Linked DNA regions of Drosophila melanogaster. The protein of the gene in region 2 purifies or fractionates together with the protein of the main gene of each other region. This does not show direct contact. Each region holds a gene or a part of one and is shown on either strand. Other genes may lie near its edges.

Region 1 (7,239 bases), on a different chromosome or scaffold from region 2:
GATTTACTTCACTGCCTTTATTTTCTTTTTGTGTTGATATGAGCGCTTGACGTTTGATTTTCCCCGAAACTTTTCATCTGCCTTTTGTGTCGGTGACTAAGTTGAGTGGGTGGGAAATTCCCCCAGTTCGCGGCGACGCTGGGAAAATACCCAAAATCGCCCAAAATTTTTTCATAATTAGATTTTCAGAATGTGTAAACAATTTTATTAAATTTTTTTATATTTAGAAAACATTTAATAAAAGCGATCAATTATGTAATAGATAGTGTATAACAGTATCAATAACAGGAATAACAGTATTAAATCAGGCAATGTAAAATATAATAACATAAAACAATTCAAAGGGTCTTACCTGAATTCTTCATACGACTTTTTTTTGTCGAAACTCATTTGAAGTTATGGTTATAAAATCGTGAGTGGATTTCTTTAAATGTAAAAGTACCCTATCACGATGCCTACTACATTTTAGACATTGACTAATTAAGTAAGCACACTTCAAGCGAATGCCCAGAAATTAAAAAAAGATAGCTACTGAAGTTGGCAATCAGGAAATGTCGAACTTTGATCTGCGGATACAACTACTAGAAGTCGCAGATAGTCAGTCGCACTATATGGTAAAATTGAATGTTCGCACTTACAGCTGCCACGATTTGTGTGCCGCCAATTACCTTAAAACAAAAATTGCACTGCCAATGTAAACAAAACGTATTTGAAACTCGTGTTCGAATGGATATACATATGTATGTATGGATTTATTCCTAATCACATGCACACGATACTCCGGATCAGCAGATCGACCAGTGATCGTCGAGATCCGTGAAATTGGATTTGTTTCTACTTTCCGTCCTTACGAAGTGGCTGCACTGAAATCGAAACTGTTTGTTTATCTTAGCAATTAGTTAGCCATAAATGTGCGAGTAAGCGAATAGAAGGGATAAAGCATAAATAATTAAAACTGTTCGCATTAGCAGATGGCAATAAAATAACTCGGTTTCTGGTCCATTCGATCGAATTCAATATTGTTGTTTAGTTTCCGAAAATATTGGTTTTGTAATTGACTTGACTTTGTTCAATTCAACTCAAGTTCCCCGAGCCCCACCATCTTGTCTTCGCCCTCCAGTTTTCTTCTCGTTTTTCCATTTTGGTTCGCCAGCCCGAGTTGAACGAACCTCTTTCAATATCTTTCAGAAAAAGAACCCAACTTTGCTTTGCTCGAAAATCAATATTATTGTTTAAATATTATTCTACGTATACGACACAGCGAGCAATAAATATTTACTAGATGTGCTCATGTTGCAAATTGTATTGGTTTTTTGGGGTTGAGTATGCAAAATCAGCAGGGAAATGGAGCAGAAATTGTTTTCGAGATTAGGAATTGAATAGGCGTAGAAAAAAATGATATTCTAGGAAACTAAATCTTAAACAAAGACGAAAAGCCTTCCTGTTTTGTTAGATTATGGTTCCAACTTTGTATATTATCAAGAACTGGTAAAAAAAACATACACGCGAATTCTTTAGTGGAATTCTTCCAACAATTTAAAAAATGATTTATTTATTGGATCGAAAGATTTTATGTTTAAAATTAAGAAGCTTTAGGAAATACTTCAAATATTAATTATAATGTATACATATAATTGTAAAGCTTTGAAAATGTAGTGATCACATAAAAAATGGGCCATATTTAACAACTTCAAACGGACAAGGTCACTTGACTCCAAACAGTTTTGTTGAGCACTTCAAAGGCCTGAATTTGTTCATTCAATTGGGCCAGTTTACTGAATATCAAATCGAACTTGGAATCAAAGTGCTGCACCACTGCTTTCAGTTCATCGCGCAGTTTGTCCACCTCGCTGGGATCAGAACTACTTGTTATGGGCGAGGACTCTACGCTGGCGGAGATTTCCGAAGAGGAGGAGGAGTCCACACCCTCTTTTTCGGGCAAGCGATACATGCAGGCTATTCCGTGAAAGTATTCCCCCGGAAAATCGGGATCGTAGTTATCCACGGTATAGGCAATGCCATTGGCACGAATGAGCACATCCATTATGTTTCTCAGGCTGAAGCAGTTCCAGTTATTTCCATGAATATAGAAGTGCGTTAGTTGCGTGAGCGTGGGGAACGCGGATGGATCGATTTCCGTCAAATTATTGCCGGATATGTCAAGTTTCTGCAAATTTTGCATACCCTGCAACGCCTCCAGCGGCAGTTCCATCTGGCCCGTATTCCGCAGCACCAGCATCTCCAGATGTGGCGTCCGCCAACCGTCGGGCAACTGACCCAGGTTCGGATTGTCCGCCACATCCAGGTGCCGGAGTCTGGGCACGCGGCTCAACGACGCCAGCTGAACCAGCGAGTTGTTGCGCAGCACCAAATGCTCCAGTGCCTCGGAGGCGGGAAAGTACAGCTCGCGCACGCGATTGTCGCTCAGATCGACATTCGTCACCGATCCGTACAAATTGACACGGTCCAGCGAGCAATTGCGAGCGGTCAAATTGGTGGCGTTAATGTTCAGCAGTAGAACGACCAGCTCGGGGTTATTCGATAGATCCACATACTGCATCTGATGGTGTCGTCCGCGGGATCGAAAGGCATACTCGCCCACCTCTCGCAGTCGATTGTTCTGCATTGCGACCGACAAAAGGTCCGGATTGTGGGCAAATAAATCGCTCTCAATGGTGGTCAGTTGATTACCGGCCAGTCCCACGTGCCGCAGACTCTTCAGTCCGGCAAATACGTCCGCGGCTAAAGCCTCCAGGCGATTCTCTGTGAGATCCAGGTACTGTAATTTCAGGAGATTATCAAACGCACCCGCCTGCAGTTTGCCTAGTTTGTTGCGATTCAGGAAGATAAACTCCAAGTTTCCTGCTCCCCTGAAGGTTTTCGTGGGCAGCACTTCGATGTGATTATCGCTGAGCAGAAGAATCACCAGCTTATCCGCACCAATGGAGAAGTTCTCCCAGTAAATGAAGCGGATGCCACAGCCGCGCATGTCCAGCTCACTGACCTCTAGTGTGTAAAATAAGCGCAGGGGAAAATTGGTGAAGGTGCAGTTCTCGAAGATCAGGGTTCGCGAGTGCTCCTCATCGCCCACTTCGTAGGTGGTGCCATCCTCGGCAATCCGCACCTCCGTTGGCAGATCAAAGGTGGCCTTCTCGTCCTCTCCCGCAAACTCAAAGCCCCTGCAGCTGGTCACCTTGCCCTCCGTCTGGCAATGACCTTCCAAGCTGGAGACCAGCACTATTCGGGATGAGCCACTATCCACATCAGCATCCGCGTCCTCATCCGTAGTAGCTGTGGCCGCCAATGAGATCAGCAAATAGCTGCAGAGGAACGGCAGACAATTCCGGACGTACATTTGGCGTGCTCCACGATTCACGTTCGACCTGAAACTGATTCCAAACGTTGACCGCCAAACGCCTGGCCAGATAAGCTCCTCTATAATGCTCAAATAACGATCATCAGTTCTATATAATTGCCATCCCATTCTATTCATGGTGTTCTGATTTTGCGAAAATAAATATGGTTCATCTGTGGCGGGTACAGCGCATTTCGAAAATGTAAGGCAGGGTTTTTTTCTTTTTTTTGAAATCGGATTGAAATACTATTTCTATTTCGAAGAATTGAGATGCTTTGGAAATCACTGCTGACTAATTAATAGATTTAATTACAATTATTTGTCTGGGAACTCCTTTTAAAAGAAATTAACATCTTTTGCTGTACGAGAGAGATGAAAATCGGTTTGTTTTTTTTTGTACCTATCATTATTTTGACACTTGTCTGTGCTGCTTTTCCGTTTATTATTCATGATTTTTTGCTGCTCTATGGAAGTTCTCGCTCTGTTGGCTCCATTCAAAACTCACAGACTTTGAAAAAAAAAACAAAACTTTGTACAATATCTGTGGAGCAATTCCCACTCATTTCCAGTGTGTTCTCTTATCATGAAGTGTTTACTTAGCGATTTGCTGAACAAAAGGTGGAAATCTCTTTTGGCTGCTGATAGTGGACATGAGGCCAGACATTCGCCCATTTTTATGTAAGAGTATTTTCATTGGGGCCCATCCATCTTTGGCTTTTACCATCGAAAATATAGGCGCGTGGAAACGTTGCTTAAAATACCTTCTATATAATTTACACAACAGCCATTTAGCATTTTGTTGGCACTGCCTTGCGTTGTGTAGTTTTGCTGATGATTGCCCGAATGACTCATTATTTATCAGGCGAACAATTCAGTGGAGGGCATTTGAGTTTCGGTTTGATAAGAGCAAACGAACTTCCGTTAACTACTTTGTCGTCTGCATTTATTCCTAGTCTTATTTTTAAAGCAATCAGGCAAGAATGTAGGCACCTTTACACGAAAAACATTCGTAAATATAGCGAAACCAGAACTTTCGCCTGCGAAGCGGTGACATGTCCAGTGGAAAAATGTGTAAAATATTTAGCCAATTATTTAGCCAACATGCCAGCGGTTTTGAGAACACGTTCAACCTGCTTTCTCAGTCGTTCAATTTGCCAGTTGCAGCTTAGCGGGCGAAAACAAAAAGATTATGACAGGTAGAGCCTTATTAATTTGTATGCAAACAAATTTATACGCTTGTTGAAATGTTAAAAATTAATTTTCCATTCGTTTGCGTTGGGATTTTCTCGGCTTTGGCCGCCTGGGCAAACAAACAATTTGAATATCGATGGCTAATTTTTTTCACTTTATGTATTCACAATTGATCTGCCTGTTTGCATTGGGCTTATTATGAGCCAATGGCTTTTAAATTACTCGACTCAAGACGACTTTTGTTCTTTGCATGGCATTTGCCATAGCTGTATCTGTATCTATTGTAGCTGTGTATTGTATCTCAATTGAAACGGCATGACTTCGTTTAGCGTCTTTTTTTCACTTTTTCGCCTGTGCCCCCTTTGTTGAATTCAATTTGCCGCAATTACTTTGCATACAAGTTTCGAGAAATAAAAAAAAAAAAACAAAGAGTGAAAATTACCAGGCTTTTATTCTGTCGAGACTTTGTCCCCGCCGTCTGTACTTTATTCAAATCAAATTCGCCCAATAGTTTAGCAGTGTAAACAAATGCGATATAGAAATATATTAAATCAGAACATATAGCGCACCATTTTACGCCTCTATTGTGGGTGCTTTTATATGGCGCCGTCGGTTTATGGCACTTGATTTATTTCATTGGGTTTATTGGTCATTCGAACGCTAAATGCTCAGGATATCCAAAGGTTGTTCCACCCATCTGACTGCAATGATGACGCAACTAGATGGTGATATAACTGGAAAATGAGCTAATTGCCATTCAAATTGGCAAGTTTATGTCCAAGTGCTTTTGTAAATTTGTTCTAAGGCGGAAATGCTTTCAATAACTATGGCTTTATAAATAATATCCAATTTTTTGCTACGAAACAAGTTAGTTTATATCAGTGTAGACTGATTTTATGAACATATTTATAGCTTAATTAGATGCAGCAAATGCGGGGAAATACATTATTCGCTTTAAAGATAAGAAATCAAGCTAAGAAAGTGAAGATAGTTAAGATAGTTAAAGTTTCAATCGAAACCATATGCAGTCCTTAGTCCATCAAAAGATATTAATCTCAATTAACTGCTGTAAACAATTCCCATGATTATCAGAGCGACAGGCCAGACGTAATGTAGCCATACATTGGCTTACTTTTGCAATGGCAATACATCGTCCACAAAACAGCAGCCATTCCATATCAGTTGGCACAACTGGGCCATAAACTATAAACCATAACTACGAGTATGTGTTATGAAGTGGAGGATCGCGAGATCGTGCTTATCGGCCGGGTATTATGACAAAAGCCTGATAATATTTCCCAGCGAATCGTAGAAGCAAAAACAAAGCAAATATATTCATTGAGAGGAACAATAAAATTTTATTGACAAAAAATCGAACCAGATTGTGGAGGGGGTCGACAGAAAAACAAACAAACAAACTAGCGCCTAAAGACCTGTTTTCGCTTTTTTTTGTTTTTTTTTTTGGCTGGTTTCTGAAGGTTGTGTTCTGGTTTTGTATTAAAATGCCCCCCAAGCCAAAAATTGCTCAGTCTTTTAAAGCCAAGATGCGGATGCTAAACTATCTGAACTATATTTTAATCGCTGTGATTGCTTTTGCGACTTGTGAGTCACAAAAACTCGAGGAAATTGCAATTGATAGTTTGGATTGCCGCGAAAATACGTGCACGAATTTGAAATACCCTTCTGCTTCAGCAGTTGCCTACTTCTCAGAAAATGTGACTAAACATTTGAGAAAGTACGAAACTCTCGTTCTTCACAGCTCCGATTTGGCCAATTTGCCGAGAAAAATCTTTTTGAACCTTCCTCAACTTGTGGAATTCCATGTATTGGAGTGTGAGCTTCAGCAAATTGAAAGTGTATGTTTTGATGGTGCCAAGAACTTGAAAAGATTGAATTTTGGAGGTAATGCCCTGCGAGTTTTGGATAGCAACACTTTTGAATTGGCCACTCAACTGGAGGAACTCAACTTATCGGACAATCAATTGGAGGATCTGCCCACCACCATATTTCGACCCCTGAAGAACCTTCAGAAGATCAACTTATCCAACAATCGGTTAATCACTTTATCCCAGCACATCTTCTCACAACTGGGATCGCTTAAATCCATCAATGTGGACAGTAATCAGCTAGTGGAACTGCCTGGTGAACTTTTCCGGGATCAGCGGAAACATTTGTCAGAATTCTCAGCCCAAAGTAATCAACTAGTGCGGATTCCTTTCAATATATTTCGTGAAATAGATCATCTCTCGCTCTCGTTTAATCCTCAACTCAGAAGACTCCATCTATCAGCTAAAATCAATGAGCTGGAGGCCACCAATTGTGATCTCGAGTCAGTGGAGTTGGATGGTCGAGTGATTGGTGTCCAATTGGAGGCAAACCCAAAGCTGCATGAGTTGAAGATTTCGCAGCCCCAGGATCTGGAGCATCTTTACTTGGCCAATACCAATCTGTATAGACTTGACTTTCTGTCCAAGGCCAGTAAGCTCGTTGACTTGGATGTAACGGACATTGTAAATCTCGCGGATTTACCCAAAATTACCTCAGCCAAGGGATTGGAAAGATTGAGTTTTACCTACGACAACTTGACTTCGAATCACATGGACATGTTGCCCCATCTGAAGGATCTCAACTACTTGGAGATAAGTCACGAGAAGGGAAAGGAGATCTTTATCAAGGATCTGGATGAGGATTTC
Region 2 (7,783 bases):
CCGCTGCTCCCTCAGAAATTTAGCAGGCAACAATTTAAACAAATTCAATTGTCGGGGGAAGAGAGGGCCGAGCAAAACTCATTTACACTTTTGCCTGCTGTTGCCCATGGCAAAAAGCACAAATAAGTAAAATATGAGCAAAAAAAAAAATATGTACACAATTTTTGCAAAACGAAAATTCTTGAGCTTAAAATTTGCATTTGTTATTACTTCGTCGGTTTGCAGTGGCAATTGTTGAATATGCAACAATGCCCCAGAACAGAACCTCTATTCCCCGCCATCACCCTACCTCTTCGAGCGCAATAACTCGGTTAGCAGATTTAATTCCAAGCCAGATTCTGATTGTATTACAATGTGGGCGGCAGCACGCCCCTGCCATTTGAAAGTGGAGGAGAACAGAAATATACGTAGAACATTTTCATAAATCATAAAATTTTTGCTTGGCAAATGAACTGAATTTGCCCCAAGTTGTTGAGCTAGGGTAAATGTTTTGTAGGTTGCCAAATGTGTGGAGATCTGGGCGGAAATTAAAGTAAATTGAAACTACTTTGCCAATCAGTTGTAAAATAAAGATTTGCTTTCACCGAACTTCATTAATCATTTTAGAACTATTTTTAAGTGCTTTTAAGAGCCAAGAACTGAAGCTAGAAATACTAGGAAATATCTTCCACTTTTTCGTTTTACATTTTTATCCTAATTTCTGAAGTGCATTTTTTATTCGTCGAGTTGGAGTTAAGCAAATTCCTGCAACAATATTTTCTGTGCTACCAAATTGGAAACTTTTGGTTTTTTGCCTTTTCGCAAAGTTTCTAATACCGAGCAAGTAGCGAATGCCGCTCATCAGACTGCTGCCACGCCCCCCGGAATCCCCGACGCCCACTTAACCCCACAGTGACCCAGACTTTTAAACACCTCTGACAATATGTGCAGAAAGTTGATAACTGGAGAAATGTTCTGCGCTCGAGTTGGTTAGGAGTTGTGGTAAACTTTACCGAGATGGACTCACAGCGGGTGGTGGATGCTGAATGGCAGCATGAGGTGGCCAAGGTCAGCGGAATGTCGGGCCATAATCGGCTTGTTTAATTAGCTCACTAAGCCCCACCTGGATGGGCATTATGTGGCTGTCGGAATAAGATGCTCTGATTGAAAGTGCCGCGTGGCTTGCCACAAAAGCGACAACTAATTGCCACATAATCAACAACAGCACAGCAGCACAAGCAGCCGCAAAAACAAGGGACAACTAAAGCCCAAGGCCGCAGGCGAGGTTTTTGGCTGGTTCTAGGCATGTGGGGTGGTGGTGCGGGTGTCACACAACTGAGTGGGTGGATTTTGAACACTTGCGCTTTTTACCAACTCAATTTACGCTAATTACTGCCTTTCGCTCCAGCGATAACTGCTGTCAGCTGGCTTGCACCCCGCCACTTTTCCCGGATTTTCATCATCCCGATACCGCATTCCCTTCAAAGAGCGGGAAATCCCTTAGCCGGCTACACAGTTTCCCATCTGCCACGCATATCCATACGCCGCGCGAATTTATATTGTCATTAGCTCTTTTTGTGCCAGCTTCAGTGTATATTATTGAAATCCCTGCCTTCTGGCCATATTATCCAATTCGCTGTTAAATCGTGGAAGAGCTAGTCTAAGAGCACCAAAGAATTGTTCAGTGCATGCGCACTCTTTGCCAAATTCCATACAATTTCTCTTTGATACTGACCTAAGTCTGTCAGTCTTGCTCAAGATATTGTCCAAGGCAGACGGTTTGCTTCCCTTATAGAGACGAAGTACCTAAATATAAATAAATGAGAACGTAGCATGCACAAAGCGTATATAATAATGATAATTTAATATTAAATTATCTAAAATAAATGAATATGTTCTTGGGAAAAATATTATAACTTTTCTCATTTATTAAAATTGAACTTAGGATCTTATGGAAGTATATGAAATAACATAGTTTCCTAAATTCAGTTAAGTAAGCATATAAGCAAGTAAAAAATAAATGGGATCAATAAGACATTATGTTGTTTTTGGGTTTTGCTATAGTGATTATGTTCTTTTTATGATCCTTCACTCCCTCAACCGGATTAATTCTTTTTATTTCAAGTTTCAACTAAAATGGCTTAGATTATTTTTTTTTAAGAGACCTATAATAAAGCACTCTAGCTGAAACATAAACTGAAATATTACTCTGCTTTTAAGAACTGGAATCCCTACGTGTCACTTAACTTCACTGCATTAAAATTAACTTAACCCCTTAAAAACAGGATCGTAAAGTCCGCTTTTATTTGCTTTGCGAACATAATTCGACCTCAAAAAACACCCTGCTGCCACTAAAAAAATAATCGCGGATTTCCAAAACTATTTGAAACCTTTTATTGTAAGACCTTGAAAGTGAACATAGTGTTGTGATTAAAAGAGAAGAGGAAATTAAGAGAGATAAATGCGGCGAATTCAGCTGAAATGCTCGGCACACGATTTTTCCGTCCCTCTTTTCCAACGACTTTTCCCGAGCCGAAGACAACAAACCCGAAGCGTCGCTGATAAAGGCTCGTATGAGTTCGGGAATCCCCCCCGGAGGCCCCAACAAATGCTCCACTGCTGCCAGAAATCAGTTTCAGTTTCTGTTTCAGTTTCAGCGCGACATCGACGGTGAACGAAAGGCGAAGGCGCGGAAAAGCGCGTGAAAATCCGAATAAAAAGTTGAGGGAAATGTGAGGCCCAAATACGTGAGGCGCGACATTTTCCGGACTATAGTGTATGTGTGTGTGTGTGCATGTGCGTGTGTTTCTGTGACTCGAGGCTAGAGAGTGTGAGTGCAAACGGATAAGAAAAGCGGGCACAATTGGGTCGTAAATTTTGGAAAACGTGTGAAAACGCAGGAAAAGCCTCATTGCCCCATTGCCGGCAGTCGAAAATTGAATGACCTTTTGTCGCTTTTTTTTTGTTATTCCAGTTACTGTTACTGCTGTTGCTGCTATTGCTCTTATTGTTAAGCTAAAACGCTTTCGGCACGCGAATATTTTACGACATCGTCTCCAAAAATTATACACCTAAAAAAGAAAAGTAATCAGAAATCTAACGAAATTCGGTGCGTGTCAGCTGCTTGCCAAATGTGGGGCCAGAAAAAATGCAGGAAAAGAATTCTGTCTGCGGACAAACAAATTATAAAAGTGTTAAACGCCCACACAACGTCCTCCAGCCCCGCCCCTTGGCCATCTCATTAGCATGCAGCAAATTAAGTTGTTTTATATTTAGACCGCCAAAGGGGAGCCCAGACCCCAAATACAAATTAACAAATTAAAACAACACACAAATGCCAAACAAAAAACAGAACCAAACCATCTTTGATCTGCGTCAAAACAAAAAAAGCGCTGCCACAAATATCGAGCGTTAATACATTCATTTCTGTGTAATCTAATATTCCGGCCGAGGGGAGACACTAAAAGAATGTGACAAAAATTAATAGAAAACCCATAAAATATTAACGGAAAACAAGTGTGCATTGAAATTTACGACAGACTGATCACAGTGCGTATGCGCAATGTGCGTCGCCGCAAGAACCGAAATATATCTCTCGTATGGGTATGATAAGATGTTGTGGCTGTTGGGGAAAATTAAGTTTCCTTGGGAAAAAACTTTCGCTTGTCTCAACTGCAGTTGTTGATGGAAAAGTTTTGTCGAGTGCCAAGCACTTTGGCTTTTCAACGATTTTACTTTTGCCCGCCCCAGCACCATTGTGTTGTGGTATCAACTTTTGAGGCCACGAGCTTATGTGCAATCCTTGCCTGACATCCCCAAACACAATTAAATTGTTTCCTTTCTTTGTTCTCGCACATAATGCCATGTAGCCAATAAAATGTGAAACCCTTTCTCAATAAAATATTCATACAGCAGGAATTAACCGGCACACAATGGGGCAGAAACAAAAGCAAAGATTGCCCACGGGCATTGGGTGGGTGTGGGTAGGGCAAATTAAGCCCACCCGGAACTAGAGTTGCCTCCTAATCACAGTTACTAAACATTAGAGCAGACACTGCCCCCAAGCTGAGAGGCAAAATGCAGACGCTTACAATTAGAAAGAGTGGCAAGAGGACTCTCAGAAAGAGAGGGGGGATAGTGGCAACGAAGGAGATGGGAATAGTAGCAATTGAGTGCGTTAACACTTTTGAGAGACATTGCTGACGTTGGCAGGAGTCTCAGACTCCGTCCCTGAATCCCGAATCCTTCCCTCGAGAACCTGGCCCTCCTGGTTCGCACATTCTGGAACCCCTGGCCCCTCCCTAATTCCATTACGGAGGCAACAGTGACAAGTGGCCAAGGATTCCAGCCAGGATTCCCAACAGGAGCAGCATGTCAGCAGCAGCCACTTCTGATTGAAGTCGCACACAGAGGTTTCTGCAGGCAAAAAAATTAGAGATCAGGGATCAGATCCTTTTTAAGGATTTGCTTTAAAACTATATATTTTTTAAAATATATACATGAGATATCGTATAAGCTGCTTAGCAATATTGCATTAAAATGTATATTTTATATCAATGATTTATGATGGCAAGAGTTTGTGCATTGATGATTCATAAATTTTTTATTGTTTGAAGTTCTTTTTTGAAGTCCTTTTATAATATTTGTTTATTTTTAATCAATAAATCTAAATAATTGTTATACAAAATCTTATTCAATTGTTTCCATTATACATAATTAGTTTCCATTGTTTCATGCGAAAATCTTTCCATTGTTTCACTGTACCGGCTGATTAATTTTTTCTCAGCATGTCGAATGAGTCCTGCAGTTGAACTCAGACCTTAATCCCATCCCCCTACTCATTAGTCTGTCTGTCGTCTCTTTGGTGCAGCGGAGTTTGCAATTAATTAAGTTTTAATTAATTTCACACAGTGCAAGAGGGAAAAATTCGAAAGGAAAACACACACCGTGTTTCAAGGGGCGTGTGAAAAAGGCAATTCCCCAGCAAATGTTTAACAAATTAGATGTGAGGAGAAGTGCCCGAGTAGCATAAAAGTTTTTCCCCTGGGCAGGGCAATTGATTGATGCCAAAGTGAATGGATGGATGGCAGCAGGTCTGAAAATAGCCTCAGCCGGAAAATGGGGCGTTACTGCTTTGAACAGTTCTCCAAAAACGACTCATAATTTTGGGGTCGTGGGGGCGTTGAATTATTTTCGGATCCGGACACATGCCACCGAAGTTTTAGGAAATGAAATATGCAAGGGCAGCTGACCAGAGACACTTCAATCCAACTTCTGTCAAAAATTGATTCTGGTTTATGCATTAACCATTATTAATTGTATGATGTGAGCATGTCCTTCAAGGGAAACTGGATTGGGCGTGTAATGTTCTTCTAATTTGTGGTGTAAACTTTTGTGCGCTCATGGAGAGGGAAAAGGATTCCATTTTAGGCCACTCACCTATTGAAATCAATAGTGGATTGCTTAGAGAAAGAGCTGTTTTATTGGTTAGCAGAATTTCTAGAATCTCTTCGAGAAAATCCTTGTTTTTACCATAGTTTATTATCCATTAAAGTCTGTTATTATCCATTATCAGCCCTAAAATCAACACAAATTTAATCAATTCATGTTCCACGACATCAAGGGTGATGCGACGAAAAAAAAAAAACAACGAGACCCGGACAAATGAAATTCCTTTTAAAGCTCTTTAGCCCCAGACGAAAATCAATTCTTTTTGGGTACGTTCCAGGCGGAATGAAAATAAAAAGTTGTCCATGGAAATGCGAAACGAGTCGGGCAACAAAAAATATTATTTCGGCCTAGGACGAGCCAAAAGAGCAAACACAAGTGCAACTGCAATTGCAACAAGCAGCAGCAACAACAGCGGCAGCAGCAACAAGGACGAAAAACAACAAGGACGATTCTGAAAAAGTTCAACAAACGAACGTTAAAGGATTAAATTGTCTGCCATTGATATTAAGTGTTTTAAATGTCATTGCAAGTGTTTAATTCACGCGAAACGAAAAGAGAAAATTGAAAACAGGCGCAATTGCAGAGAGAAAAATTTGCATACAAAGCTACAGTCTTAATTTATATTTATTGCGCTGTGTAGAACTATCTTTTATAACGTTTTTTAATTTTACAAAAATTGAAGATAATTTTTGTAGGAATAGCAATCTTCAACCTTTTTTGTAATAATTGTAATAAAAGCTAATAACGCAAGCATGTTTTAAAGCGACTTATAGTTTTTCTCTCTGTAGATGAAGCTAATAGAAAGGAAGACTTAAAAAAGTGTTGTGAGTGAAAAAAACGAGTTCAAAACAAACATATATTGCCGTAGATCAAAACTCGCAAAGCCAAGTGCGAATTGATAGGACAAAGGCAAGCCTGATAAAGTGAAAGAAAAAAGAATCGAAGGAGAATTTGAAGCAGAGTGCAAAGGTTGTTGCTGCAGCCCTAAAAAATAACCACAAATCGAGTGGGTCATCGCAAGATGTTGACCCTGTGGACGGCACTTTTCTGCTGCCTGACGGGTAAGTCAAATTCCCCACAGGATCCTGCCAGCACACACAACTCATCCCATAAAGCGCAGTCTGCTTAAGCATGCATAAGATTATCAGCAATATATATACCTATTATATACATATACAATATAGGCCTCCATCAACCCGCTCAAGGTTGTTATTGTTGCCGCCTCGCCGGGCGCTGAATCCTTTTAAAAACATTTGTGGTTCGGGCTGCGAAAATCCTGATTTATGTTTCTGCCTGCTGCGTTGTCCTTGCAATCCTGTGCTGCTGTTCTGACATGGCCACTGCCAACCGCAGCAGGAGCAGTGAAAGCGATGGGTACACGCAGAGGAAAGTCTAGTACTGAACTGATCAAATAATAACTTTTTAATAACTTACTATTAATTCTTAACTACAACCATATATTTTTAATATTATTAATTGATAACACTTCTTTTGAACTGAAATAGGCACATACAGTTTTGATCTTTTAAGAAATACTTAAATAGTTGTGACAAAAACAAACATTATAAATATTTCGATGTATATGTATATAAAATATATTTCAATTTCGGATAAAATTAAGCTTATATTTTTCTCAGTGTAAAATTGAGAGACCAACGCGGAGCCAAAGCAAACAAATGCGGTCGCTTGCTGGTCGCTTGGGGTCGTTTTTAAGGGCATATCGCATAACAGCAGCTCCGGTGAGGAATGAGGGGTTAAGGGTTATGCTGTGCGGAGTGTGGTGGATTCAGGGGTTAAGGATGAGTTGCTGGTGTCACTGCACTTTAAATTTTAAACGCGCTTCAAACACACACAAATTGCTTCCTACACATAATTATGCATAATTGAAAAGTGTAATTATGCCCGAGACTCCGACTTTATGAGCCGCAAACTGTGCGCTCAATCAGGCGGACAGCAACAGTTGTGGGTGGTTGGAGGAATGGGTGGTTGGGTGGTGCTGATGCCACACAGGGCCAAGTGAGCCACCAGTCGACCCACTCAAACGCAATGTTTATGAGTCGCAAGTCCTTTTAATTGCGTGCTGCCGGCGCGAAGCAAAAGGGCAAGAAAAGCCAAGGAGCGTTTTATTTTTCCCAGATAGATTTACCTTTTCTCCTATTAAATTTCATCCTGACATCAGCAGACTTTTCTACGGAATGGCATTTTCTGAGAAAAATATGATATAAGCATTTGAAGTCATTTATAAAGGCATTATGCTATAATAATTTTACTGAATTTTAAATATAAAACAATTTTCTTTAGCAAACCTAGAATGAAAATATTTTTATTTGCTGTACTTCTTTTTAAATTAATG

The links. The genes of interacting proteins can lie anywhere in the genome.
Region 1: the proteins of dpr10 (region 2) and cDIP purify together in Drosophila melanogaster (affinity purification with western blotting; 2 studies listed by BioGRID). This does not show direct contact.

The regions. Positions count from the first base shown.
Region 1 is NT_033777.3:21,157,700-21,164,938, forward strand, and holds cDIP (common Dpr-interacting protein), read right to left. Parts: upstream 3,394-7,239; 5' UTR 3,356-3,393; coding exon 1,691-3,355; 3' UTR 1,539-1,690; downstream 1-1,538. Other genes in the region: CG5810 (uncharacterized protein), read left to right, coding at 6,091-7,239.
Region 2 is NT_037436.4:10,180,951-10,188,733, reverse strand, and holds the start of dpr10 (defective proboscis extension response 10), read left to right. Parts: upstream 1-2,625; 5' UTR 2,626-2,809; intron 2,810-6,203; exon of another isoform or gene 6,204-6,218; 5' UTR 6,219-6,451; coding exon 6,452-6,491; intron 6,492-7,783.